4 linked regions of the Notamacropus eugenii genome follow. The protein of the gene in region 1 interacts with the protein of each later gene in a biochemical or structural test. Links are inferred from orthologs where the notes say so. Each region holds a gene or a part of one and is shown on either strand. Other genes may lie near its edges. The genes, in order: XIAP, TLE3, HTRA3 and UBE2M.

Region 1 (7,090 bases):
AAACAATTCACACTTTCTAAAAATCAAATAAACACTTACTAATCACAAACTATGTGCCAGAGATACAACAAAAGTGAGGCAGACCTTGCCTTCAAACTTATATTCTATCACAACAAAACATGTTCAAAAATAAACAAATACTTATCTATACGAAAACAGAAGGAGGGAGGCATTAAGAACTAGGCGGACCTGGAAAAGCCTCTTGAACAAGGATTCCTGAAGAGAATTAGTCATATCAAATATGAAAAAATAAGGACTGTAAATGATGCTGGGTTTCCTAAAATTAAGTGATCGCTGGTGACCTGTGAGTATAATTTGAGTAAAGCTGTATGTAAGCCAGATTACAAAGGATTAAGGAATGAAGGACTAGTGAGCAAGTAGCAACAGCATTCTCAAAAAAGAACTTCAAGCTATTTTATACACTATTTATTCTTAACTCCATTTTCTAGGGAATACAGAGATTACAGTCCCCATTTGTCATTACTTTACTCATTCAGCACTGCCTGATTAAAGAAACAACAACTATTTACCTCACATCTCATAGCCAATAACCCTTCATTCATTAAATGGTACCAATTAATTCCTGGACAGAAGCCGCTAAAAGAGCAGTCTGATACAGTAATATGCAAGTTTAAGAAATGCACCGCATTTAAAAGCAAGGGCTGCCTGTCACTTTAACTTGCAATCTGCTCGATTCAACATGTATAAAGGCAAGCCCAATGTGGCAGCCTTGGAACCAGAAGCTTTAGGTGTGAGTTCCCAATATAGCATTCACTAGCTATATATGGGACATATAGGATCTTAGGCTAGTCTATTCACTTTTCTAATGTATAAAATGAAGACTAATACTTGCACCACTTTGATATTTTTTCTTCAACTGAAAAGAAACTATTTTAAAATGGCTTTTTAAAAAAATTAATGAGAAATAAGAAAGTTCTAGAACTAGGCTCCGTTTCCCACTCTGGCTCACATTTACCATATTGAATTCTCTCAACACGAACTACAGATGTTTCATTCCACATATTTAATCAGCTGCTAAGTACTGTCCATTCTATCCCCATAACATTTACAGAATCCTTTCCCTTCTCTCCACTCACATCTACACCACTCAAGTTCAGGCCCTCATCACCTCTGCCTGGATCATTCAATAGCTTTCTAATTGGGCTTTCTACCACAAGTGTCTCCTCTCGATTCATTCTCCACAAAACTATCAAAGTGATATTTCTAAAGCACAGATCTGTTTGGCCCTGTTAAGAGTTCTGCTAAATAAACTTCCTGGGTTCCCTATTACCTCATGGATCAAATACAAATTCCTGTTTGGTATTTAAAACTTTTAAGAACTGTCCTCCAACTTTATCAACTTGTTCTAAATCACTCTCCTTTACACTATAGTCTATACTATCTATCTATCTATCTAGTCTACAATCCAACCAAACTGAAACTTTTTGTTACTCCTCCTCACTCAACACAAACCATCTATTTTCTTCATGTTTTTCTATATACTGCTCTGCCTGCAACACACTCCCTCCCCATCTCAGCCTCTCAGAATCCAACATTTCCTTCAAAGAAAAGCTCAATCATCTCCTCTTACACATGGCCTTTCCTGAATCCCACCACCAGCTGCCAAGGAATTTTGTATATACTCACACAAATACTTGCCATCTCCCAAGATAGAATGGGAACTCCTTGAGGGAAGGCATTGTTTTGTATCCTCAGTATATAGCACAACGCCTGGTACATAGCAAATGTCTAATAAATGCTTGTTCATTTTTCCCTAATAAAAAGCCCCAAATATCCAGTTTCACACACAAACTTGGTGCTGTAGAAGTGATACTTTTTTAAAAACTTAGTCTGATATCTGTTTGAATACAAGGAAGTTATTTCCAAGTCCCGTTCCATTATCACTGTTTCCTTGATCCAGCAACAGCAAATATTAAACAAAAATGCTGTAGAGTAACAATCACCAGTCAGCTCCAAGTAAACCCATAACAAATACATCATTGTTTTGGCATTTTCTAGCTATGAAGTAACTATATTTGAATACAATGTCAGACAGCCTTAAAACTTGCTAGGAACGAATGAAGAAGGCTACATTATTGCTGTGGGTAGCGTGGGGGGGGGGGCGGAGAAAGAAGAGGCTCGAGAGAGGGGAGTAAGAAGGGTTTGCCCACTCGGTTTTTTGTGCTATTTTTAAAAGTTTTCTACCAAGTTCAAATTCATTTTTGTTCTACAAAGTTGGCTAGGAAAGGAGCTTTGGCAGCAGAGGGATGGATCATGGGCTCATTTCCTCTTAAGTGAGTCTTTTTTCCTTTCCGCTCTCTTCACTCCCCCTCCCCCCAATGTGGATACAACTATAACCTGACAGAAGTTGCAACTGCACTAGCCAGCCCCGTCAGGGAGAGTTAGATCACCACGACCCCTTCCTTCCTCCTCCTCCGTCTCCTTTCGATAAGACTAAGGGGAAAAACCAGCCCGCCCCCACGCCTGTCCCTGTCCCACGTTACGGAAGAGAGAGGAAAAGTCGAGTGAGGTCAGGGCAGTCCCCGAGCGCCGCCGCCCTCTTCCCTCCGCCTCCTCCTGCTGCTCGTGATCCTGGTCACAGTCAAGAGCAGGAGGAGAACAGAGAGCGAGCGAGAAAGAAAGGAAAGTCCGTGGAGAGGCAACGCACGCCAAACCCGCGGCCGACCGCGCTGGTACCCAGCCCCACCGGGGGGGACTACCTGAGGATGGGACCAAGAATTACTTGGGGGACCCCTCCAGTACTCAATTCCCCAGGCATGCCCGAAAGGACTGAGCCCGCTGAGGCTGAAAACACATCGACCCCACTTCCAGGAGGATTGGGGGATTCTCCCATACCTGCCTCTAACTTTGGGCCCCTCCCTCTCACCCTGCCCATCCACTCACTTACCTTTCTAACCAGCGAAAACCGCAGCTACCGCGCATGTGCAACCTGCGCCGCTTCCCAGAGAGGAGACCACGGCCCAGAGATAAAACGTCTGCGGGTCAGCTGAGAAAATGAAAGGCGGCGTCCGTAGCGTCAGGCGGCGTCCGTAGCGTCAGGCGGCGTCCGTAGCGTCAGGCGGCGTCCGTAGCGTCAGGTGGCGTGAGCTTTGGCGCATGCCCGATGACAGCCTGGTGGGCTACGTGGCAGCATGCCCAGGAAGACTCACTGGGCTTTACGCAAAGTTTTTTCCGGTTTTCGCTGGTTGGGGAAAGGATCAAGGAGAGAAGCAGGGAGAGTAAAGGAAGGGAAGGATGGAAAAATGGAGAAGGGCCTAAGGAAGAAAGGAGGGGGCGGAGTCGAGCTGAACCAAACAGAGGTAGAAGGGAGCGAACGCAGCACTCCAGGGCTTCCTATGAAAAGGGAACCTGGTGTTTTAACGACAGCCACAGGAGACAATGGAAAGCAGTTGGACCCTACACATAATACGGTATACTGAAATAAATTCTAAATAGATACACATCCCAAATATCACATTATTTTTCTTTAACAGTAAAGACAACAGTTCATCATTTCTTACAGCACAATAGTATTCCATTACATTCATATACCGTAATTTATTCAGCCATTCCCCAATTGGTGGGCATCCCCTTGACTTCCAGTTCTTGACCACCACAAAGAGAGCTGTTAATCAGTATTTTTGTACATGTGGGACCCTTTCCCATTTTTATGATATCTTGGGAATACAGTCCTAGTAGCGATATTGCTGAGTCAAAGGGTATGCACATTTTTGTAGCCCTTTGGGCATAGTTCCAAATTGCTCTCCAGAATGGTTGGATGCGCTCGCAGCTCCACCAACAATGAATTAATGTTCCAACTCTCCCACATCTTCTCCAACTTGTGTCATCTTCCTGTTTTGTCGTGTTAGCCAATCTGATAGGTGTGATGTGTTCTTTTGATTTGCATCTCTCTAATCAATAGTGATTTAGAGCATTTTTTCATATGATTATAGATATCTTTAATTTCTTTCTCTGAAAACTGCCTGTTCATATTCTTTGACCATTTATCAATTGGGGAATGACTTGTATGGTTATACATTTGAGTCAGTTCTCTATATATTCTAGAAATGAGGCCTTTATCCCTGAGCTTAGCCGTAAAAATTCTTTCCCAAATTACTACATCCCCCTGAATTTTGGTTGCATTGGGTTTGGTTGTGCAAAAACTTCTCAGTTTAATGTAATCAAAATTATCCATTTTGCATTTCATAATGCTTTCTATCTCTTCTTTAGTAAAAAATTCTTCCCTTCTCCATAAATCTGATAAATACACTATTCCTTGCTTCTCCAGTTTATTCATGGTATCAATCTTTATACCTAAATCATGTACCCATTTGGACTTTATTCTTGTGTACAGTGTCAGGCATGGGTCTATGCCTAATTTCCACCACACTGTTATCCAGTTTTCCCAGCAATTTTTGTCAAACTGTGTTCTTATCCCAGAAGCTAGGGTCCTTGGGTTTATCAAACAGGAGGTTGCTATATTCCTTGCCTACTGTGTCTTGAGTGCCAAGTCTATTCCACTTGTCTACCTCTCTGTTTCTTAGCCAATACCAAGTGGTTTTGATAATTGCTGCTTTATAGTACAATTTGAGGTCTGGTAGCACTAGGCCACCTTCCCTAGCATTTCTTTTCATTAGTCCCTTTGATATTCTGGACCTTTTGTTCTTCAAGATGAATTTTGATATTATTTTATCCAGCTCTAGAAAATAATTATCTGATAGTTTAATTGGTATGGCACTAAATAAGTAAATTAATTTAGGTAGAATTGTCATTTTTATTATATTAGCACGGCCTACCCATGAACAATTGATGTTTTTCCACTTACTTAAATCTGACTTTATTTGTGCAAAAAGTGTCTTGTAATTGTGTTCATATAATCCCTGGGTTTGTTTTGGCAGGTAAACTCCTAAGTATTTTATAGTGTCTACCCTAGCTTTAAATGGGATTTCTCTTTCTATTTCTTGCTGTTGGACTTCGTTGCTAATATATAGGAATGCAGAAGATTTGTGTGGGTTTATTTTGTAACCTGCAAGTTTGCCAAAGTTGTTTATTATTTCAAGTAGTTTTTTACTTGAATCTCTGGGATTGTCTAAGTAAATCATCATATCATCTGCAAAGAGTGATAACTTAGTTTCTTCTTTGGCTATTCTTATTCCTCAATATCTTTATCTTGTCTAATTGCTACAGCTAACATTTCTAGTACCATATTGAATAATAGTGGTGATAATGGACATCCTTGTTTCACCCCTGATCTTATTGGGAATGCATCTAGCTTATCCCCATTGCATATAATGCTTGCTGAAGGTTTTAGATAGATACTGCTTATTATTTTATGAAAAGTTCCCTTTATTCCTATGTTCTCCAGTGTTGTTAATAGGAATGGGTGTTGTATTTTGTCAAAAGCTTTTTCTGCATCTATTGAGATAATCATGTGGTTTTTGATAGTTTTGTTGTTGATATTGTGTGGGATGGCTCAGGTCCCTACATAAATCAATTACTCAGAGGCCTCTCAAAGTGATGACAGAAAAGTGATTTAGTCGATTCTCGAGAAGCGGGGCTTACCTGTAGGAGTAGGAAAGCCGAAGACAAAGAACAGGACAGTGATTTATATAGACCCTAACGCAAGTCCCTCCTCCCCCCACTGACCATTATCCTCATTAGCTGAGAATATGGTCTTACATTCTAGACACGAAATCTAACCAATCCCTTTTGAAATGAAGACATCGAGGAATTATGTAAGTTTTGTCCAATCATTGAGACCCTAATACACTACACAGTTTTATATCCTTATATGGAACTATTCTATTCTAAAAATATTGTAACCTTGAGCCTTTAGGCCTTACCTCACCCCTGGGAGAAAAATTACAATCTGAGGAGTCTTCACTAAGTCTATCCCACTCAATATGATCAATAATGCTAATAGTTTTCCTAATATTGAACCAGCCCTCCATTCCTGGTATGAATCCTACCTGATTATAATGTATTATTCTCGTGATAAGATGCTGTATTCGTTTTGCTGAAATCTTATTTAAAATTTTTGCATCTATATTCATTAGAGGAATTGGTCTATAATTCTCTTTCTCTGTTTTGTCTCTTCCTGATTTAGGTACCAGAATCATATTTGTATCATAAAAAGAATTTGGTAGGATTCCTTCTTCACCAATTTTCCCAAATAGTCTATATAGTTTTGGAATTATTTGTTCTTTAAACGTTTGATAGAATTCACTTGTAAATCCATCTGACCCTGGAGATTTTTTCCTAGGAAGTTCATTGATAGTTTATTCAATTTATTTTTCTGAGATGGGGTTATTTAAGTATTCAACTTCTTCTTCTGTTAATCTGGGCAATTTATATTTTTTTAAATAGTCATTGTCAAATTTATGGGCATACAGTTGGGCAATGTAATCTCTAATTATTGTTTTAATTTCCTCCTCATTAGAGATGAGTTCACCTTTTTCATTTTTGATATTGGTAATTTGATTTTCTTTTTTTTAATCAAATTGACCAAAGGTTTATCAATTTTATTGGTTTTTTTTCATAAAACCAAGTCTTAGTTTTATTTATTAGTTCAATAGATTTCTTAATTTCAATTTTATTGATCTCTCCTTTGGTTTTCAGTATTTCTAATTTGGTATTTACTTGGGAATTTTCAATTTGTTCTTTTACAAGCTTTTTCAGCTCCTTGCCCAGTTTGTTGATCTCCTCTTTCTCTCTTTTATTCAGGTAGGCATTCAATGATATAAAACTTCCCTTAAGAACTGCTTTTGCAGTATCCCATAAGTTTTGGTAGGTTGGCTCATTATTGTCATTCTCTTGAATAAAGTTCTTGATTGTTGTTGGGATTGGAAGCTCAATTCCATGTGGACAGTCTCGGGCGGGTAAAGGTGGGAGCTTCTAAATCTTAGAGCTCTCACGAGACCCCCCCAGGAAACGGCAGGGAATCGAGGTGAACCGAGCTATCTCGAGTAATTCCGCCTCTTCCCGTAAGAAACGTGATGGGAGAGAGATCTCCCCGCCCTCGAGATTGTCCCGGATCTGGGCACACCTAGTTACCTAACAGCACGGTATTCAGATGCAAACTATGCGGCTG
Region 2 (6,925 bases), on another chromosome or scaffold:
CAAAAACAAGTAATAGACACTTGGAGAGAGGTCAGTGTATGGGACCAGTTCTCCTTTTGATTCCAGCCCCAACAATTGTGAGCTAAAGTGTCTCTTTTTATTACAGTAGCATCCCCCTTTAATGTAGATAGAAGGATTTTCCTGCTGAGCATCCTAGACAGAACCTAGGAACCCTGGAGTTAGAAGGATAAGAGGGAAAAACAGAGACTGAAACGTTGTTCTCAGTTCTTCACCAAATGTCCACCTTCCTTGCTCTCCCTCTCCACACACATCGTATTTTCCAAGTTTGGGCTCCGGTCTGACTTTACCTCTGTTGTCCACTCACCACCCTTGGTCCTCCCTCCTCCAAAACTCCCTAACTCCCAACTCTTGGGCCATTCTGTAGATCAGCTCTTACCATAACATAATGGCGCTGCATTTCTGTCTTCTCGTTGGCGAGCTTGTCGTACTCCACTTTGAGACTATAAAGATCAAAACCAGATAATTTTCAGAACGTACTCACAAGCAAAGAGTCTTTTAGGGAGGTGGGATTGGAGACTGGAGGGTAGAAAAGGTCCTAGTAATATATACAAGGCAAGAAAGAGGACTTTAAAAGTCACTGTTCTACCTGCCCAGAGCACTATACAATTTCCAGTTGGCATAGGAAAATCAACTTATCCACATTTACAGCCCCACCACCCTCAAGAAGGGTGGTCAACTTTCTCTGAGACCTAGGTTGGGGGAGGTCAGTAAAGAAAGTGGCGAAAGACCCTAAAATCAAAACCTGGCACGGGAGCAGGGAGCAATCTTCACCCTTGAACCCCTTTCAAAATTACCCCAAACTTCTCTGGGAATGAAGGGATGGTATTGAGAGTATAGACTGAAGTCTCCGGGTGACAAACAGTTAAACTGGGACCGCTTCGAATGGGGAAATGAAGGATTGCACCCCCAAGTCTTTTCTCCTCCGCGGGGATTTCTGAACCCCTAGGGAAACAGGGGAAGAGTGTGCTGAGGGACCCTGGGGATCTGCCTAGCTCCCAGCCTCCATCTCGCACCTTACCTGTGATACTGAGCTTGTAAGAACTGGAATTCGTCTTTGATTCGATCACAGGACTCAGCCACAGTAAATTTAAAACCTGGCTGCCCGGGTTGATGGGGAGCCTAGAGTCAGGGGAAGACAGACGTAGGGAGAGAGGAGTAAAGAGATCAGTGAAGGGATCCGGACAGGCAAAACAGCGACCATCTGCCCCCTAGTCCTGCCTCTCTCGATTACTTAGCCTTGGAGCAGCACCCCCCCCCCCGCCCCCCTCCAATCCGCGCGGCTGCTCCAGTCTATTCAACCCTCCAAACCAGATCCTCCCCTCAGACCCAAGTTTCTTAGCTACCGTGAGAAGAGGCACCCCAAAGCACTTCCCTCCATTACAGGGTTTCCATCCCAGCGGCATCCCATGGAAGGAATGGGAGGGGGAAAGCACTGTTTGTTTAGACGCAGAGGTGGGGGTGAGTGGGGGGACTGAAGGAGTGTATGTGTGAAAGCACTTCATCTTCCTACACCAGCCGCACCAAAGCGCACCAGAAGGCTTTAAACATCTCGGTCCGCCAGCCCGCCCCCGCCCCCCCCTTTCCTCCCTCTTTGTGTTAGAGTGCGCACACACGCACACACTCACACACACAAACACACACAAACACACACGCACGCACGCACACACACCATAAAGGTAACAAGCAAAATGGAGGTGCAAGATAAACAGCTTCATTTACCCTCCAATGATAGATGATTAAATAAATCTAGTTACAATTACTCACCGGATGTCTGCCTTGCGGATACATCGCAGGGAGGGGTCGTGATTCTGCGAGAGTAGGTGGAAGCACAGAGACCTGAACCCGCGGAGGTGAGGGAGAGGGGGAGCGGGGAAAGCCGGACCAGGGGGCGGCAGGGAAATTGAGCGGTTTCCCCCGCGCCCCCCCACCCCACTCTCGGAACAATATCCCAGGCTCAGGAACCAGACACAAGTAGAAACAAAGAGCCAAGGAAAAATTAAGGGGAAAAAAAGTCCTTCCAGAAAGCGAATGGGGAGGCCGGGGCCAAGCTTGCTGGGGGTGGGGAATGGGGGGGTCTCCTTGTCTTTGTCTAGCTAGGGCTCCGCCGCCAGCAGCCGGCCGGTTTCCCTCGAGTGCGAAGAGGGAGTCAGACTCGGGGGGTTCGTAGACATCCTTGTCCTCCCCGCGGATTCACCGGGGGAGGGTGCGGTGTCCGGCGTTGGAGTCCCGAGACCAGTGGATGCAGCTACTACTGACCTCCTCTACCCCCTCCTTCGAATCACCGCCGCCGGGCTGGGAGGGGGCCACGACCAGACAGCTCCACCAACCCGAGCGCTCACAAGCTCCCCTACGTAGCCGGGCTCCGCGCTGGCTCCGAAGAAAGCCCTCCCGGAGGAGAAAGGATGAATTAGGAAGGACCAAGGTGGCGAGCTGAGGCGGTGAGAGTGCCGAGGAGTGAGGACAGGAGCTCAGCTCAGGCCGTTTGACCACCCTCCCCCCACCCCCCTCGGAGAACCCAGCTGCTCCTCCGCGGTGGCTGTGGCTTCAATTCCCTTCCCGGAGCTGGAGAAAAGCCGCTTCTAAGTAGATTCGATTCAACTGCTTGGCATCCTAACTCCACCAGGCGCAGGAAGGAACTAGCCAGGGTCCACTCCAGGGAGAAATTGGCTCTCCTCAAAGCCAGAGAATGGCAAATCCCGAAGACAAGAAAGCCCTCTTGCTGCTGCCTCGGCGGACGGGCAAAGGGGAGACGCTCGAGAGGAAAGACCCAGCAAGACAAGAGAGCTCTGTGGCTTTCCACTCGGCCCCTCTCCTTTCCTCTTTCCTCTACTAACCCCCAAAACACACACTCACACACACGTACATACACTCACACCAAAAAAAAAAAAAGTGCCCCGGACCTTGCGGATACCACACACAGACAGAGGCTAGAGGGACAAGCACGAGGTCTGAACTGCCGCGAGAGCAGTTCCAAATAGGGACTGAAAAGTAACAAAATAATGTGGCAGCTTTGCCCGGCGCTGGCCAATGGGAGCGCCGAACCCCCACGTGGGGCGGCCGAACTCGGCCTGCGAATGGGTGCTTGCAGGGGCGACGTCACAATGCCCTCTTGTGTCTAAAACTATGCATGAAAAGTAGCAATCAGCCCCTACCCGCTGGTGACTTTCGCATGGGAGTGAAAAACAGCGCTCCTCAGATCAAGAATTAACCGAAAGACATATAATAAATAGATATATATTATGGTCCTGGGCTGCTAGGGTGTTTTTTTCCCTCCTCTTTTTTTTCCCACGATCCACTAGCAAATAATTATCTGGCGGGAGGGAGAAGGAAGAGAAATAACAAAAGAAAAAAAGACATCCTCTCTACAATTCTAAAAAAACCTGTGGCTTGTAATAATGTATCAGTTTATTCTGCAGCGGCGGCGAACGATTCCTCCCTCTAATCTCATTAGGTCTGCAAAGCAGTCCAATTAGATACTATAAAACAAACAGAATCGCTTTGTCACTTTTATGTTTTCAGTTCACAAGATTTAGTGCGGATAAAATGGTTGTTCCCAAAGTTGCTTCTCCCTCCACCCCCAATTTAAAGATGTGTTCAGAATAGCCAGGCGGCCCTTTCTTTTCCTCAACCTACTAACCCCCACCTCCGCCCCATTTTCTCTTTCATGCTCCAGTCTTTTCGCAAAATAAACACCCGCTTTGATGTGAGATGGGTAGTGAGAAGGTCTGAAGAACTCTTGGTTGGCTGCTAACAAAAAATGGAAACAACCCGGTTCCACCCGGACTACCTGTTTCACTCACATATCCCTGAACTCTGGTCTCCTTTCCAGTCTGAGCAGTCTTGGTCAAGTACTTGGGTAACCATCATTCAAGTTACACACTCGCCAAACATCATTTGAATATCCCTGCATTCTCACTACAAAGTAATGCTCACAGTAGCCTCTCTGGGATAGTAGCAGAGGGTTTTCCCCCCAGTTAGAAAAGCTATCCACTCTCACAGCATTTTATTAAGCCTATTAGAGAGGAGGACTAAATTTACTCCACACCATAGGATTAGAATGCTCTGAGGCAAAAACAAGATTGAGGGTCTGATAATGCACCTCCTAGTACAGGCTCCCGCTAAACTAACCTAGAGCGCTTTCTGGGTACACCCTAAGAGTAGGAGGATTCTGAGTTGTTGGAAAGACCAACCGATCTCCCGGGCTAGCTGGTTGCTGCCATAAGTCGGGGCGGGTGAGGGGAGAGAGAGAGAGAGGTGGAACGGGAAACAGTAAACCCATCACCGATAGTCTTTTATCACTATATCTCGGGGTTACTCCAGGCCGGATCTGGAGAGGAAAAAGAGAAGGCCTTTAGTGTGTGTGTGTAATTAAAAAGAAAAAAAAAAGAAAAGACACTGTCTTACCCCCACCCACCTCACCCTCCCCCCCCCCGCGCGCGCGCGCACACACACACACACACACACACACACACACACACACACACACACACACACTTCCCTCCCCCCACACACAAACCCTTCTTCTTCCTCCTTGTACAAAGGAACAAAAACCTGGATTCTCAAACATAGAACCATCAGGGTTGAGCAACCAATTATGGCCAGGTGAAAGCCAATAACTATTCTCTCAGTCTTTTCCCCAATCCTCTCCTCTCCACCCGTACCACCTCTTCTTTTATCATTTCTGTAAATCATCAATAAACCATGTCAGCTCCGGGCTAGTGGAGGAAAGAGCTGGCGGGCAGGCGGGCAAGCTAGCAAAAAGGATCTTCCCCAACATGTTGGCGAGGTGGTACAATTGGAGAGAAAGAAGAACCGGAGAGGACACGCGCGAGCGCAGTCGCGAGGTTATTTCCTCGGCCTGGATCTATATTTTCCTCTCATTAAGAGCGGAGATTGGCGCTTGCATTTTAATGAGGAGGATGCGATCTCTTTTCCAACGCTGCGAGTCCAGGGAGGGAGGGTGAAAAAGGAGTTACACGTGAGTGCCTCAGTTTCTTAAAGAGTTAACACTTGTCTCTCGATTACAACAAGGCCCTGCCAACACCACATTTTAAAATCTATTTATTTATTTACACCAATATGAAAATAGTGTATGGAGCTGAAAGAGTGAAGGGGAGAACCCGGTTCGGCAGATGCAAACATCTGGCTACAGCATCTATTAGACACAAAATGGCTCCTCTCTCTATCTTCTTCTCCTCCCCCCCTTTCTTCCCTCCCCCTTACGTCACGGGTGGGCTCACCCTCCCCTTTTCACCCCTCCCTTCCCTCGCCAGGTGCCCCACGTGGGATTCGCCGACTCCGCCCCCCGTCAAGGCTCCAATAACCAATCACGAAAAGGTGAGGTAGCTGCTAGTCGCCAATTGGTGCAGTCGGTGGGGACTGTCTTTCTCCAGCAGGGCTTGTCAGTCAAAACCACGCGGGGCGGGGAGCGCTGACAAATGCCTGGGCTTCTGAGCCTCCCGCTTGCAAATAGTGCTTGGAATGGCTGCTTAATTAGCTTTGAATGGCTTTTCCTTCCAGCTCAAACAATCTGTCACTACCATGTGGTATAAAGGAGCCATGCATAAAAAAGTAAGCAGAGGCTAAATATCAATTTGATTTTGTGTATCAAAGGAATATTTTATTTTTCTCCCTAGTAATGAAACGTATCAATTTAAATAATAAAAGGTAAAAAAAAAAATACACACATACAAAAAAAAAAAACCTCAGCTGTCCTCATCTCAACACACATGAAGCAGGTAGTTGCTTCAACCCATGAAAAAAGAACCTGACTCTCGTTTTTGTTGTCGTTGAGTCTGGAAAAGGAGGGGTTGGTTTGAGTAGGATGAGTTGGTGTGCTCACAGTGGAGCTAGGGCAAAAAAGACAGCATTGGGAAAGGGGTTAAATTAAAAGGTACCCTTTGAAGATGGTTATCAAAGTGAGTAGTTAAAGGTCTTGAAAAAAGGGGGGAACCCACGTTGGATTTCTATTTGGGACGAAAAGAAGGGGGACAGGGAGTGTAAGGGAAGCGGGAAGAAGTAATGCAAGTCTCACGTTTATTAAATATAATGCCTTCAAGATGCAGCGTCCCCTGGTTGACTTTTGCCCTCCCCTGGATGGGGGTGGGGAGAAAGACTGGTGTTGAAGGAATACCATGGAACAGCGCTGGGGCTGGTCTAGGCTGCACAGGTAGGTGGAGGAGAATTCTGGCCTAAAGAAAAACCGGCTTTGCGCTCTAGTCCCTGGTTCTTGATGAGGCCCATGCAGGGCTATCCCTCATTTTTCTGAAACCAGCTTCATCTTGTTATTGTTGGGTAAAACCACCTGAGAAGGGTCAAAAGTGTTAGATAGGGAGGTTTCCAAAGCTCTGACTTCAGATTACTACCTCAATCCGTTGCCCTAAACAACTCTTTCAAACCTGGGATTCCTGTCTTTAGGGACAAGTCATCTTCTATGCATAAAGGGGATTGGGGAAAAACTAAGGGTACAGAGAGAAGAGGTCAGGATCTCTTTTTAAACTTCACAAACCCACTTCTACCCCATACCACAAGGCAAGTTGAGCAAAAAAAAAAAATACATTTTTAACCTTGGTGTTTGAGAAAGGAAAAAGAAAACACACACACAATCCAAGGCGCTTGACAATTATTTAAAAAAAAAAAAGTTCAAACGTCTCTGTCTCCAGTTCTAATTGGAAACGTTTCAACTGTTTATGTTACAAGAAGTGTCAGGGTCATTTGCTACTGGAGAACTGACTTTTCATTGGCTGCCTAATTGAGTACCTTGGAGTCCACCCCACGTGGGAGAGGAATTCCTGGCTCACACGGGAGTCACCAGGGCAAGAAGGAAATCCAGGCCTGGATTAAAGGAGAGGCAAAAGGTTTTTTTTTTTTTTTCTTCCATGGGGGTGGGTGGGGGCTTGCCCCA
Region 3 (7,472 bases), on another chromosome or scaffold:
TCTGATAAATCCCATAATCAAACTCCATTGTATAGGATTCAAGATGTGCCAAATTGCATACTTGATCGAGTCATGTTATAAGAAGGTTCTTGTGTCCTAGAAATGGCATTAGATAGACCTGAGTTCTAAACACCAACTCTGGAGTCCTGGGTCAGTATTTTGAAAAAGTCATTTCACCAATCCAACCATCTGTTTTTCTCCTCTGCAAAGTGGAGAAAATATTCCTTGTAATACCTACTTCTTAGGGTTTTTGTGAAGAACAACTGAGATTATGGATGAAATTGAATTGTAAAGTGTGATATTGTGAGTTGTTATAATCCTTGTAAGGATATTGTGATCATTTTGTATATGATGATATTTTAAAGACATTTCTTATTGACTATGGAACTGGAACCATCAATTCACTTTGGTCATTGTTAAGAACATCTAATGAACCATCAGAGAAAAAAGTATAACCCTTTCATGTTACAGGCAAAACTAATATTTAGAAAGTTTGTTTTAGGTCACATAGCAAATTAATGCTAGAGCTAAGATTAGAACTCAGTGTTTTTGATTCCCATTGAATCATATGGCATTGTGTGACCTTGGGTAAGTCCCTTCATTTCTTCAAGCCTTCGTTTCCTTATCTATAAAATGAGATGTCATCTCTAGAGAAGAGAACCTCTGAGATGCCTCCCAGCTATAACTCTATAATCTTATGTTCCTATAGTCCTTTGTTAAGCACTTCTTAGGCTGTTGGACTTGGGAGATCCAGGTTAACTATCACTGGGTCCTCAACTTTCTTCCCATTTTTGGACTCTGGTCCATTCCCCTTTGTGGTAAGCTTCCTAATCAGAGCACATTTGTACATTGGGAAGCAGCATTGCAAATATCCCCTGACAAGGAAGGAGGTGACATTTTTCCAATGCCTACTTTCCTACTAACTCTCTGGGGTCTAAAGTATGACTAGGAGTTCTACCAGTGGAGATGTGTGTATTGGGGTTACTTCCCCTCTTTGGGGCTCAGTTTCCTCATCTTTAAAGGGATGATCTCTAAGGTCCCTCCTAGCTCTATTGTCTTATGGTTCACATTCTAAGTCTACCTCGGACATTCTCTATTTTAAAGTCTCTTTTCGAGTTATCTCAAAGTATCATGAGCAGCCTGGAGAGGCTGTAGCTTTCCCCTTACTAGGAGCCTTCAAACAAAGATTACATGATTGTTTCTTGGGAGATGTAGTAAAAGGGGCTTATGGTTGAAGAATGGGTTGGACTCCATATTCTTTGAGAGTCTTTCCAAGTCTGAAACTTCTGTGATTCTTTGGTGTCAGCTTTGATATTCTAAGCCTTAAAGTTCTTCCCAATTCAGATACTTTAGGTTCTAAAATATAAAGTTGCTTCCAGCTCTTCTATTTTGTCTTCTAAATTCTAAGTTCTGTTCTAACTATGCCATTTTATGACTTCTCTCACATCTGACACTTGAAAATTCTAAGCTCGTTTCCAGAACTGATCCATGTCAATCAATCAATAATCAATCAAGAAACATTTAGCAAGTGCCTACTATGTGCCAGGCACTGTGCTAAGGGCTTTGGGGATACAAAAAGAAGCAAAAGGCAGTCCCTGCTCTCGAGAGGTCGCAATCTAATGGGGGTGAGACAACAAGCCAACAGATAGATACAAAGATGTTATATACAGGATGAATAGGAAATAATCAGAGAGGGAAAGTATTCGAATTAAGAGTGGTTGGGAAAAGCTTCCTGTGGAAGATGGAATTTTAGCTGGGACTTTAAAAAAAGCCAGAGGTCAGGAGGTAGAGAATTGAAACAAAGGCATTCTAGGCTTGGGAGAGAGCCAGAGACAATGCCCGGGGCAGAATTCTCTTGGGAGCTCTCTAACTTTCCGACTTCCAAGGCCCCTTCGAGCTGTGCCACGCCACGCGCCAGCTCTCTCAGGCTAGACCTTTCGGATTCTTGACTTGCCCCCCGGCTGCGCACAGTGGGCCCGCGCTCCCTTACCCGATTCGCAGGCGCCCTTCTGGATCTGAATGACAGCGGGCAGCCCCTGCTGAAGGGCTTTGCGGCTGGCAGCCTTCAGCCGGCACACGTTGTCGTAGGTTCGCCCGTCGCTGCCGCACACCTGGTAGGTCAGCTTGCACTGGCAGACTCCCTTGGCGAAGCGCTTGCCCGCCGGGTGGCCACACTCCAAGCTGTCTCCGCACGGGGGGTCGTCCTTTCTGCCGCACGCATCGCCCTCGGCGGCCGCGCACACCAGGCAGCAGTTACAGCTGTCGGGCACGTAGCCTCCGGGGCAGCTGGGGCTGGGGCACTTGGAGACATCGCAGCGCGGTGGACATGCCAGGGGCTCTGCCCGACAGGGGCGCAGCAGCGCCAGCAGCCCCAGGGTGCACAGCAGCCAGGTGCTTCGAAGCATGGCCACCTTTCTCCACTTAGTCTCAGGGCTCAGATGCTGCAGCTGCAAAGGCAGACGCGTGCTGGGACAGCTGACAAACAAAGGCAGACGCGCCTGTGGTACCGGCCGAAGGAGCGCGGACGGCCACAGCCGGGCAAATGGGACGTGTGGCTAAAAGTAGAGGAAGCCGTACCAGAGGAGCTCCGGAGGGCTCTGGGGCCCAGAGCGTACCGAGGACTAGCCGCGGGGGGCTGGGAAGACGTGGGTGGGAGGAGGCAGGCTCCAGACACACTGAACTGGGTGGATCAAGTGAGACCAGGACTGGAGAGGTTTCCTGGGGCATGCACAATGAGCCGAGGGTCCCTTGGGCGTCGTGCTAGGTGAAGGCAGCGGCTTCTACCCTTGCTTTGCTGGGAGGAGAGCGCGGAGCCAGATTTTAAAGCCGAGCCAGGCATTCAATGCTCCTCCCCCAATACACACCCTAGCGAAGAAAGAGGGAGGGGGTTGTGGGAGTAGAGTGGAGAGGACTCCTCAAGTCTGGCTGCCGAGTTTTGACGCGGCAGCCAGGGATTATCCCGGGAGCTATAGTCTTGCCACAGGAGGAGGCTGGGTTGCAGGAGCCAGAGCTCAGGCGCAAAGAGGTATGTATGTGGGCTGTGCCTTAGGGGCAGCTGCAGCTGTCTAGGAGGAGGCGTCTGGGGCCAGCTGTGCGCCCAGCCTCCGAGCCAGACCCCACCTCCCACCAGCCTCCGCGCCAGACCCCACCTCCTCAGGGAACCAAATCCAAGCACCTCTTCCCCTCACTCCAGCGCCTAATCTTTCTCCTCCTCTTCTGTCTCCACACTCCGAACTACTTTCCTTTACCTTTTGCTCCCTCCTCTTCCACTTCCTTTGTCGACCTTCAGCTTTGCTTTCCACCGCCCTCTTTTCCCTCTCTCTGTAGCCCTACTGTTCATCTTCCCTCTCCTTTCCCCCTCTATTAATAAAAAATAAAATTTTAATTGGAACACAAATGCATTGTTGGTGAAGTTGTGAACTGATCCAACCATTCTGGAGAGCAATTTGGAACTATGCCCAAAGGGATATCAAACTGTGCATACTCTTTGATCCAGCAATGCCACTTCTAGGCCTGTATCCCAAAGAGATCGTAAAAATGGGAAACCGGCTTGCAGGTACAAAAATATTTATAGCAGCTCTTTTTGTGGTAGCAAGGAATTGGAAACTGAGCAGATGCCCATCAATTGGGGAATTGGCTGAACAGGGTGTGATGTATGAATGTAATGGAGTTCTGTTGTTCTACCAGAAATGATGAGCAGGAGGATTTCAGAAAAACCTGGAAAGACTTAACATGAACTGTTGCTGATTAAAGTGAGCAGGACCAGGAGAACATTGCACACAATAACAGCAACATTTGTGATGATCCACTTTATAGACTTTGCTCTTCTCAGAGATGGGGAACTTGTGGCCTCAAAGCCATATCTGGCCTTCTAGGTCCTTGGGTGCAGCCTTTTGACTGAGTTCAAGTTTTACAGAACAAATTCTTTTATTAAGGGAATTTATTCTGTAGTTTGGATTCAAAGGGCCACACTTGAGGATCTACAGGGCCACATGTGGCCTCCAGGCCACAGGTTCCCCACCCCTGTTACTAAGACAGTTCCAAAAGACTCATGATGGAAAATGCTATCCACATCCATAGAAAGAACGGTGGAGTCGGAATGCAGATCAAAGCATACTATTTTTTTCTTGCTCTTTTCTCTTTCTTGCGTTTTGCCTTTTGTTTCTGATTCTTCTTCACAACATGACTAATGTACAAATATGTTTAATATAATTGTACATGTATAGCCTATATCAGATTACATGCCAGCTTGGGAAGATGGGGAGGGAGAGGGAAATTTTAGAACTCAAAAATCTTATAAAAGTGAATGTTGAAATAAATTTTAAAAAACCAAAACTTTTTAAAGTACCTACTATGTGCCAGGCATTATACTAAATGTTGGGGATACAAAAAAGAGGCCAGACAGTCCCTGCCCTCAAGAAGCTTACAGGCTAATAGCTAATAATTCCTGATTAGAGAGATTCCTGTTCAGATATGGGTTAGACCAGGGGTGGGGAACCTGTGGACTCAAGGCCACATGTGACCCTCTATGTCCTCAAGTGTGGCCCTTTGACTGAATCCAAACTTCACAGAACAAATCCCTTAATAAAAGGATAGTTCTGTAAAACTTGGACTCAGTTAAAAGTCTATACCTAGGGACCTAGAAGGCCACATGTGGCCTGGAGGCGAGAGGTTTCCCACCCCTGGGTTAAACTATACAGTGACTGAAGTCTCTAGTCTATGAATCTGAATTTCTTTCTCAATACCTGAAACTCCTTTAAAAAAGAACAAAATCTTTCTTTCCATGGATACCTTCACATGTGGCTTAGGGTCAGGTCATACTATCTTGTATAAATAGCTTCATTATACCATTAAATTGAGTCAACATTAATTTTATTTGGTGAGAATGGAGAATGTTTCACAAGGCTCCTTCTCAATAACTAAAAATACTCTGTGGTGTTGCAAAACCAAAGTTGGCAACTATTGTCTTAGCAGCATGAAAAGTGTGAAATATGTCCAAAGGAAAAGAACAGATGGGGTGATTGGTGCTAATGCCTCATCTTTAGTTCCACACAGAATCAGAATGGTCTTTGGGTTCCTGGTATCTTCTCCTCCTATCTAGCATTTTCCTGGAGAGTCTATTTTCCTGTGTATGGGGATAATACTATTTATACTTTATGATCATGTTTGTCGCAAGGACAGCCCTATAGACTTGAAATTATTAGAGTTTATATGGGTTTAAATGAAAAGTCTTTTGGTGGTTGTCTTTGGGGGCACACACTGAGCTAGAAGAGATCTTTATCTCCTCTCCACTCCCTGAAATTTACAGATAAGAAAAATGGTGTTCAGAGAGGTAAATAATTTACTCAAAATTACTTTTCAAGTTAATGGCAGAGCTTAGATTATAGCCCAGTCCAGTGCTCTTTCCATATTCTGCCCACTGTGACTATATTGACACCTAGAAAGACAAAACAAGGAAAACAAATACTAAAATATAAAAGCAAATTAATGTTTGTAAATGGGGTGGAGCAAGGGGAAGAATTCTCAGCATAGTACAAAAATTTAAAACATCCTCATAATTTTTTCCTTTTACTTTTATCAATAACTTTTTTTTATTCATTTTCATTTTTGAATGAATGTCCCTCCCTTGCCTCAAAGAACTATCCCTAGAAACAAAAAATAAAAAGTGGCAGGGACAAGATTCAAACTCAGATTCCAAAGCCAGTTCTCCTTTCACTGAATTATTCTGTTAAAAGAGTGATGAAGGCTTGAAAGAAGATAAAGATTTTCGAAGGTGGAGATGAGGATAGAGTGCATCCCAGGCACAGGGGACTTGTATAAAAGCATAAGAGCCTGGCAGACAGTAGAATGTAGGGAGGAGAGCAGTATGATATGCAGTTGGAAAGATGTTAGGGAGAGAGATGTATAGAGGGCTTTAAGTACCAAACTCTAAAGACTCTAAGTTAAATACTTCAGACAAAGGAGGGCCATTCAAAGTTTTTAGCAGGAAAATGATGGCACTTTGCATGCAATTCATATTTACTTATTTTCATACATACCAAGTCACATACTTGGTCTACATTTCACATTTATCTTTACGTGTATATTTTGTATCCCACTATCCCTTCACCTAGTACAATATAAACTAGAGGGGCAAACACTGTGTGCAATGGTTAACCCAATGTCTGCAATCCAGATAATTGAGGGAGAGAATATTTTTTGAGATTTTGGGTGTATGTGTATTTTAAATTGGCTTGAATTACTCACATTTTTAATAACTTCACTTAATCTCATTACCTCAGTTTATTCATCTATAAAATGGGGATAATAATTCCTGCCTGGCCCACTTCACAAGGTTATCCTGAGGAAAGTGCTTTGTAGAGGTCAAAGAGTCTAGAAATGTGAGTTCTTATTGTTGTTACTGTGAGGAGCACATGAAATAATGAATGCAATCCAAAAAGGATGTATGGTTATTCATTTATATTTTGTTGTTGTTGTTATCTGGTCTCCCTACTTCTAATCTCTCCCCTCTCCAATACATTTTTCACATAGCTGCCAAGATGACATTCAAAACCATACATTTGGCCATATATTCTCTTATTCCAGAGAAATAATACTATGCCCGAAGAAAAGGATGTTGCAAGTTACTGTTGTTTGGTCACTAGCCACGTCTCACTCTTTGTGACCCCATTTGGTGTTTTCTTGGCAAATATCCTGCAGCGGTTTGCCATTTCCTTCTGCAACACCTTTTACAGATGAGGAAACTGAGGCAGACAGGGTTAAGCAACTTGCCCAGAGTTCCACAGCTAGTAAGTGTCTGAGGCTGGATTTGAACTCAGGAAGATGACAGGCACTCTGTGCACTATGGCGCCACCTAGCTGCCCTTGCAAATTATAATAGCAACATTAAAAACCAAGTCAGTATATTTAATTACATCTGACCCCTGCTTTCATGTCTGCCTATCGAAATCCTACCCATCCTTCAAAGCTCAGTCCAATACCACCTCTTCCAAGAAGCTGTAATTCCCCTCCCGTGGGGTCTCTTGAGTTTGATCTTTATTGTGCTGAATGTTTATTAAGTTGAATTTTAGAGATGATGACTAAAATCAGCTCTAAATTAAATTAACTAATGGTTAAAATAAATAAACTAATAAGAGGGAAATCTAGCCTACACCTATGCCTTTATCAATATGAAGAATTTTAGAGGTACATGGAAAGATATATATGAAATAAGAAGAACCAGGGAAGTAATATAAGTGATAACTACAGTGTTATAATTGGAAACAATAAAAACTAAACTAAATGCTGTGTAATTACAAGGGTGAAGCCTGTCCTCCCCCAAAAGTAAAGAGAATTTGTATCTTCTATTGGCATGGAACATTTCATATATTTTTTCAGGTGTGGTTGATGTATTTATTAGTAAGTTTTGCTGAGTAACTTTTTTTCCTCTCTTCATTTTTTGTTCTTTCTTGTAATGAATGATTCTCTGGGTCA
Region 4 (7,353 bases), on another chromosome or scaffold:
CTGAAAGGTGTTCCTGGGGGGAGGAATAGACCAGTTAGAATGACCAGGACAGAACAGCACTCCCTCCACACACACCTCCTATACCCCTCTCCAAGGGAAGCAGCTGGCTCCAACCCAATGTGCCAGGCACCACCATCTATGGCTCAAGGCTCGGAGCTGTTACAAGCAGCCCTCATCTTTCTCTCATGTTTGCCTCACCACACTGATGGTGGGACACCCAGAGGGCTCTGCCTTAGAAATAGGGAGAATGAAGCAGAGAGCTGGGGGTCTTCTGCATGTCTCTGTGGGGGCCGCTGGCCTAAGTCTGGGGGTGACATCTTAAGGCTCCAGCCTTCTTTCTGGGCCTGGGTCTCCCTCTCCCACCCAGGCTGATGGGCACAGGAAGAGATTTAGCAGGGATGTTGTATCAGCTTTGTTCCCTCCTGCAACTCAGAGATGCCAGTTGCGACCCATCACACCAGGCTGCGAAGTTTTTCATTGTGTGTCTACCTTTTGAGGGGAGCAGTCCAACCTGGTGACTTCTCAAGTGTCTAAATCCTATCAACTCACTTGCTGTGCAGCCCTGCTCTGGAATGCCTGTTTCCTTATCTGTAAAATGAGGGCCTTGTCCTTTGGGACAACAGTGCACATTTACATGGTGCTGCTAAGGAAGGCTACTAAGCACTTACACGTGCTGTATCTCATTTGAGAGGAAGGTGATGTTATTAACTCCACTTTATAGACAAATAAACTGAGGTTGAGACAAGTGACTTGCTCATGGTAACACAGCTATACACATCTCCAGCACGCAGCATCCCATCCAATGGTCTATGAATCCAATGCGTCTTCCAGGTGAGAGTCCATTGTTGGAGGGTTAATACCGCCCCCACCCCCCAGGCAGGGACCTCTCCTCAGGTGGGAGGGGACTGTGGGCCAAGGTTGGCACCAACTGTCCTCACTGCACCTGCCCCAGCAGGCGCTGCCTGGGGCCTGCAGGAAGCCCAGTGCTACTGGAAGTTGGGCAGGAGACCCGAGGAGTCTGGGGTAAGCCCATTCCTAGCTCAGGGCTTCCTCAGTTTATTCCTGTGTCACCTGAACAGCCTGAACCAGGTAACCTCCACAGGTCTCTCAGTGCATTCCCCAATCCTCTTGTCTGTGTCTGCTGACCACCCTGACTACAGATGCACATTTCCCCCCATCTCCCCTGGGGTGTCCTGTAGCAGCCCAGAGCCCAGGGATGGAGAGGAGGCCCTGCCCAATCTCACCCCCACAGCCCAGTAGATAGGCCTCTCCATCCCTCAGGGCAGGAAAGATGCTTCAAAGGGCTGGCTGAATTCGATTCGATTCTATCAGTGAGAGGCCCTCCAGATACTCTCATGGCTCCCCTCTGCTGAGACCCTATGAGACGCTGAGGCCTAAAACCGTGAGCTCACTCTTTGGCCCCCCCTCTGCCTGCTGTCCCATCTCCTCCGACAGATCGCCCCTCCCCTTTGTCTCCAGTCTCTCCCTGGCCAGGGCTGTCCCTCCAGTCTAGCTGGCCCTCGGCTGCCACAGTGACCTCACCTCACTGGGAGCAGAGGCTCGTGTTTCCCTCCCGTGGCCCAAATACCCTCCATCCCCGCTTCAGACCAGGGGCCTCACCATCGGGTGGTGTCTTGCCAGCCTTGGCATCCCCCAGAAGTGAGTCCTCATTTTCCACACCCCCACTTTACTGATACTTCAGGGGAGCCAAAGCTCTCTCCCCTGGGTGGACTTGCTCTCAGGGAGACTGCAGGTGTTGGGGACGGGGGGCAGGAGAGCACAGCTGGAGATGCTTCTGGACGGGCAGAGCCCCTGCGGAGCTCACATGGGAAGCACCACTGGAACACGGCCAGAAGAGACAGCCAAAGCCGGAGGTGGAGCCCAGCTGGTGGCTGCCGCCACGAGGCCAGGGCCAAACCTGGACAGCAGGCCTAGGCACATGAGAGCAGGGGGTCGCTGCGGTTCTCCTCCCGTTCTCCCCCAAAACCCTGGGGTGCTGAAGAGGTGGGGATCCCCAGGGCCTCACCCCAAGAGATGCTGTCCTTCCTGTTGTGGCTGCAGGATGACCGTATCCAAGTCCCGTCCTTGACCATCATGCCCCCCTGAAAAGGCCTGGGGCTCTGCAAGGTCCGTGCTCACCGCAGACAGGGGCACAGACTGGATCACTCTGGAACTGTGGCCATCCTGTGACTCAGGGGAACCCAGGCCAGGATAAAGGGAGCAGGGGGTTGGGGTGGGACTGAAGCCAGAAGTAGGGGAGTTGGGAGGGATTTCTGGGGAGGAGAGTCTGGGCAGGATAGTGAACCCCAGCTCTCTTTCTCTGAAATCCTGGGCCCGGGGGGAGAACAGGAGCTCTGGAGAGGCCAGGACCATGTTCACTGGGAAGGCCAGTCCCCTGTGTCTGGAGGGGCTGAGCCTCAGAGAATGGAGCAAGCCCCGGCAGGACAGACTAGGGTCAATGGTCGAAGGGGCCCCCAGCAGTGGAGGAGCCTGGGCTTTCCCGCAGTGGGAGGAGGCAGAGCATGCCTTCAGAGGCGGGGAACTGGGCTGCAGGGAACCTGAAGGTCTGGGACTGGAGGTGTGGGGGGCTTTCTTGACTGGGTGGTATCTGGGTCTCAGGGAAGATGAGGCTCTGCCTTTGGAGGGGCTGGGACTGAAGGGGATGGGCTTCCCCTTCAGAGGCTGGACTTTTAGGCAGATAGAAGAGGACACCGTCCTGCAAGGAGAGGGGCTGGCCCTGGAGAGGGGGGGTCTCCCTTTCAGGGGATGAGATCTGGTCTGGGGGGAGCGGGAGGGACTCGGAGTACAGGGAGGAGGTGCCCCCATCGGGGAGCAGCTCTGGGGCCGGGGACAGCCGAGCACCCGGCATTGAGAGGGCATGGGGCTCTTCAGGAGAGGGGCTTGGGGTGCAGTGGAGACAGCGCCGAGGCGCCCCTGCGGAGGGGGGCCAGGGCCCTTCTGGAGATGGATGAGCCGGGGTCCCTGGGAGGCTGGAGGCAGAAGCAGCACCCTGCACTGCAGGGCGCTGGGGGCAAGGGGAAAAGGAGCCCCCGAAATGAGCAAGGGAGGGGGCCCTTTGCAGAGGGAGAGGCTGGGTCTGCAGCGGGAAGAGCCGAGGATGGGGGGCACGGCCTGGCACAGGAGCCGTAACGGCTTGGGGTAGCGCAGCTGCCCCCGCGGGTGGGGGTGCGCCATTGGCGCGTCCTTCAAGGCTCCCTCGGGCCGGCCACTGGCACCTAGGGGAGAGGGCGGACAGAGGGTGGGGGCCCTCCTCCAGGCCAGGCGCCCCTTCAGTGCTGACCCTCCAGCTCAAATGACACGTGAGGAAACTGAGGCAGACTGGTGACCCAGCTAGCAAGTGTCTGAGGCTGGATCTGAACTCAGGCTCAGGTGCGCCCCTCACGGTCGCGTGGCAGTCAATGAGCACTTATTAGGCACCTACAGTGTGCCAACCTGAGTGCACTGGGGTACGCAGGCAAAAAAGGACAGGGGTTTTGTCCGCCCCCTCCCCCACCGAAGCTGGCCAATGAGGTCTCAGTTCTCCTGGGTGAGACAGCCCCCCCCCCAAACGAGAAGAGACGCTCGAGAACTACTGAGGGGGTCGGCCGAAAGCAGCTCTTCCCCTCTCTCCAGTACAAACCCTGCAGGGCCCCATCCCCTCCCCATCACGTGCCCCCAGCCCCCGCTGGACTACGCTCCCCAGCAGGCGGCGCGCAGACTCCTTGCCCTTTCCCACAATGCTCAGCGATTCGGTTCTTAGGCGCAGGAGAAGCGGAGTTACCATGGGGATGAGGGCCCGCCTCCGCCTGCTCCCGGCTCGCGTCCTTCTCGCCTTCAGTCTCGGCCCCGGGACCAACCGCTTCTGAGGCGATGCGGTCTCCCTGGTGACGCCGGGACTCCCGCGCTCCCGCGGCGCCTCGCTGCCCCTCCTCCCGGCCTGCGGTTGTCATGGAGACCGAAAGCCCGGAAGCTGCAGCTCAGATTCGGTCATCCCCGCCTACTCCGCATTTCCGGGATATTCGTATAAGGCTAGCGCCACAGCCCCGCCCCCGGGCCTAGAGCCCGACGACTATTGGCACGCCCTCCGAGCCTTCTCCAATGGGCGGGCACGTAGGCGGGGCTGGCCTAAACTGACAGCTGCCAGCGCTGTCGCGGTCGATGTGTGCACTAAGAGCTCCCTGGAGACTAGTAACTCTCTTTCCTCCTCCCGTGGCCCCCCCCACCTCCGCCCTCCAAGAGCCTTCCTTCGCACCCCTCCCCCAGCCAGCTCGGTCGGCAGCCCGCAGGTCAATCTCCTCCGGAAGCGCCAGAAGCCCCCGCCCGGAAATGGCCGAGCGCGGCCCCGGACTGCGCGCCGCGTCTGCGCATGCGCGCCGCGGGGCCGACAGCGGCCAGAGCCGAAGCGGGGGAGGCGGCGGCGGAAATCACCGAAGCGTCGGGGCGCCCCGAGACCGTTGTCGAGGCCCTTCGCGACCGCCCAGGCTGAGGGCCTGGCCCAGGCCGAAGCCGGTTCGTAGCCTGTAAGCGAGAGAGAAAGAGGGACACAGAGAGACAGAGAAAGGGCAGCCGGGAACCCGATCTGGGACAGAGGAGGAGGAGAGGAGGGGGCGGGACCGAGAGCGGCCGCCGGGCGGGGGGCGGGGCGAAGCCGAAGCCCACTTCCGAAGGCACCCGAGCGGAGCCGAGCCCTTCCGGAGGGAGTCGAACACTTCCGAAGCGGACCGAGCGAGCTACGGGAGCCGAGACGGGCCGCGCAGCGCGGCGCTGAGCTGAGCAGCCGGGGCCGGAACGCGGAGGAGCCGGGCAGGGGCCGGAGGCGGGGGCTGGGGCGGGCAGGCGGCGGACAGTGGGCAGGGGCGGCCGGCCGGCCAGGGCCCCGAGGAGGCGGCGGCGGCGGCAGGATGATCAAGCTGTTCTCGCTGAAGCAGCAGAAGAAGGAGGAGGAGTCGGCGGGCGGCACCAAGGGCAGCAGCAAGAAGGCCTCCGCCGCGCAGCTCCGCATCCAGAAAGGTGCCCCGGGCGGAGGGGGGAGAGGGGGGAGAGGGCCGCCCCGCCCCCACCCCCACCTGCGACCAAGGGCTGCCCCCACCCCCCACCTGGGACCCAAGGCTGCCCCCACCCCCACCTGGTATCATCAACTGCCCCCACCCCCCACCTGGGACCAGGGGCTGCCCCCCCCCCCCCCCCCAACCGGGGCCATCTGCGGCCTCGTCCCCACCCCACCCCGGACCCGATCCTACCTGGACCAGCCCCTGACCTCAGGGTGTAGATGATGGTCCCCAGATAACTTGCCCTCCACTCTCCTCCAGACATTAATGAGCTCAACTTGCCTAAGACCTGCGAGATCGACTTTTCTGATCAGGACGACCTCCTCAACTTCAAGCTGGTCATCTGCCCGGATGAGGTGAGGGCCCCCTCCCCCCGCGTCGGTCATGTTGCCGCCATGGGCCTCTCCCGACTTCTGTCCTTCTCCAAGCCGTTCCCAGGGGCCTGGGGACTGTGTGCCGGGAGGTACCTGGAGCAGGCAGCCCCAATCAGCCTCCCCTCCTTTCCTTTCCCTTCTTTTTCCAGGGCTTCTACAAGGCTGGCAAGTTTGTGTTTAGTTTTAAGGTAAGTCTTTTGAAGGGGAGGGGCAGAAACTGCCCTGGGGGAGGGGCCGAGGGCCTCTGACTGCCTCTCTGTCCCCAGGTTGGCCAGGGTTACCCCCACGATCCACCCAAGGTGAAGTGTGAGACCATGGTTTATCACCCCAACATCGACCTTGAGGGCAATGTCTGCCTTAACATCCTCAGGTAAGTGGCCACCCCAACTTCCCCGGTGAGAACAAGGTCATTTCTGGCCTGCTGGCCCTTGAGGGGAACTTGTGAGGGTACAGTGGCCAAGACAGAGGACCAGAGGGTTACGGTCAGCCTGGTGCTGCTGGGGGTCAGCACTTTGGCAGTAGCCTTGAGGAGGAGATGGCCGGACAGGGCTCAGCAGAGAGCCATTGTGGAGAAGTGACCAAGCTGGAGACCAGGGAAGGGCACACAGATGTGGCTTGAACCTTCTTTTCCGATTTAGGACCCTGGGGGGAGGGTGGGCAGGATGGGATGAGGAGCACTGCCCGTGGGCCAGGAGGAGGTGGGGCTGCCCTGCTGAGGCCGAGCCCTTTGGGCTGGGGGGCGCTTCTCCTTCCACAGAGAGGACTGGAAACCAGTGCTAACGATAAACTCCATCATCTACGGGCTGCAGTATCTCTTCCTGGTGAGTGCGTGGGGGGGGCCGAGGGGAATGAGTGCGGGGGTGGAGGCCGTGGGGCGATGGGTGGGGGGGGTAGGGGGCCCCGGGCCTGACCGGATCCCGGCCCGCAGGAGCCCAACCCCGAGGATCCCCTGAACAAGGAGGCGGCCGAGGTCCTCCAGAACAACCGGCGCCTTTTCGAGCAGAACGTGCAGCGCTCCATGCGCGGCGGCTACATCGGCTCCACGTACTTTGAGCGCTGCCTCAAATAGGCGGGGGGCGGGCGGACGGACGGACAGCCCCGCCCCCCGAGCCGGCCCTCCCCCTCCTCCGGGCCCCCTCCCCCGGTCGGGGCGGGGGGCGGGGCGTCCGCGGCCCCCGGGCCACGTATTTATTGGGGGCCGGGGCCTCGCGCGGGAGTGGGGATGGGGAGGGGGCCTCCGGCCGCGCGCCGCCCCCAGTTCTTTTTTGGGTTTAGTTTTTTTAACCACGTGATTGATGGGCGCCGCCCTACCCCGCCCCCGTCGTCCGGATCAGAGAAGGGAAATGAATTGGATTGTCCCCGGACCCCGCCCCCACTCCCACTCGAGTTCGTGTCAGGTTATTAAAGGGGAATGTTGATGCAGTGCCTTTGCCTCCTGGCCTTCTGTCCGTGCGTGCGTCCCGTCTGTCCGTGCGGGGTTGGACCCGAACCTGCGGCCCCGGGGAAGGGGGGGCGGGGCTGGAGCGCCGGCCTGCACGCCGGCGCGCTCTGCGGGCCGTCCGACCCCGCGCGCCTGCGCACTACGGCTCTCGGCCCCGGGCGGGGCGCGTGCCAGTGACGTCACGGCGCCGGTATCCGGAAGCAGCGGCGGGTTGTGGGAGAAAGCAGGCGGCGAGCAGACCCCGGGCAGCGGCGGCGGCGGCGCGGGTGGGTGGCCCCGGAGTCCAGCGCGACCCGGGGGGCTTCCCGGAGGCGGCGGTTGTGCCTCCAGCTCGGGGCCGGTGAGTGAAGGCGCGCCCCCCCGCCCCCAGAGGACGCCGGCGTCCGGGCCTCAGCCCCCCTCCGACAGCCTCCTCGGGGGACCCCGCCTTCTGGTTCCCCCGATCTCGGAACGCAGCGCCCCCTCTAGGCCCCTCCTCCGGGACCCCGGC

What was found.
Region 2: of the proteins of XIAP (region 1) and TLE3, one has a biochemical effect on the other in vitro, tested with the Homo sapiens proteins (2 studies listed by BioGRID). The link is inferred for Notamacropus eugenii from reciprocal best matches to the Homo sapiens genes XIAP and TLE3.
Region 3: of the proteins of XIAP (region 1) and HTRA3, one has a biochemical effect on the other in vitro, tested with the Homo sapiens proteins (3 studies listed by BioGRID and IntAct, with this or other methods). The link is inferred for Notamacropus eugenii from reciprocal best matches to the Homo sapiens genes XIAP and HTRA3.
Region 4: the proteins of XIAP (region 1) and UBE2M form a complex in vitro, tested with the Homo sapiens proteins (2 studies listed by BioGRID). The link is inferred for Notamacropus eugenii from reciprocal best matches to the Homo sapiens genes XIAP and UBE2M.

The regions. Positions count from the first base shown.
Region 1 is NC_092879.1:46,933,251-46,940,340, reverse strand, and holds the start of XIAP (E3 ubiquitin-protein ligase XIAP), read right to left. Parts: upstream 3,017-7,090; 5' UTR 2,909-3,016; intron 1-2,908.
Region 2 is NC_092872.1:133,848,648-133,855,572, forward strand, and holds the start of TLE3 (transducin-like enhancer protein 3), read right to left. Parts: upstream 3,019-6,925; 5' UTR 1,810-3,018; coding exon 1,786-1,809; intron 1,141-1,785; coding exon 1,040-1,140; intron 462-1,039; coding exon 398-461; intron 1-397. UniProt on the Homo sapiens protein: Transcriptional corepressor that binds to a number of transcription factors. Inhibits the transcriptional activation mediated by CTNNB1 and TCF family members in Wnt signaling.
Region 3 is NC_092877.1:56,221,547-56,229,018, forward strand, and holds the start of HTRA3 (serine protease HTRA3), read right to left. Parts: upstream 3,020-7,472; 5' UTR 2,406-3,019; coding exon 1,991-2,405; intron 1-1,990. UniProt on the Homo sapiens protein: Serine protease that cleaves beta-casein/CSN2 as well as several extracellular matrix (ECM) proteoglycans such as decorin/DCN, biglycan/BGN and fibronectin/FN1.
Region 4 is NC_092876.1:990,860-998,212, reverse strand, and holds UBE2M (NEDD8-conjugating enzyme Ubc12), read left to right. Parts: upstream 1-4,633; 5' UTR 4,634-4,901; coding exon 4,902-5,010; intron 5,011-5,309; coding exon 5,310-5,404; intron 5,405-5,571; coding exon 5,572-5,610; intron 5,611-5,688; coding exon 5,689-5,792; intron 5,793-6,179; coding exon 6,180-6,243; intron 6,244-6,350; coding exon 6,351-6,491; 3' UTR 6,492-6,847; downstream 6,848-7,353. Other genes in the region: uncharacterized protein, read right to left, coding at 1,739-1,931, 2,027-3,236, 3,782-3,950.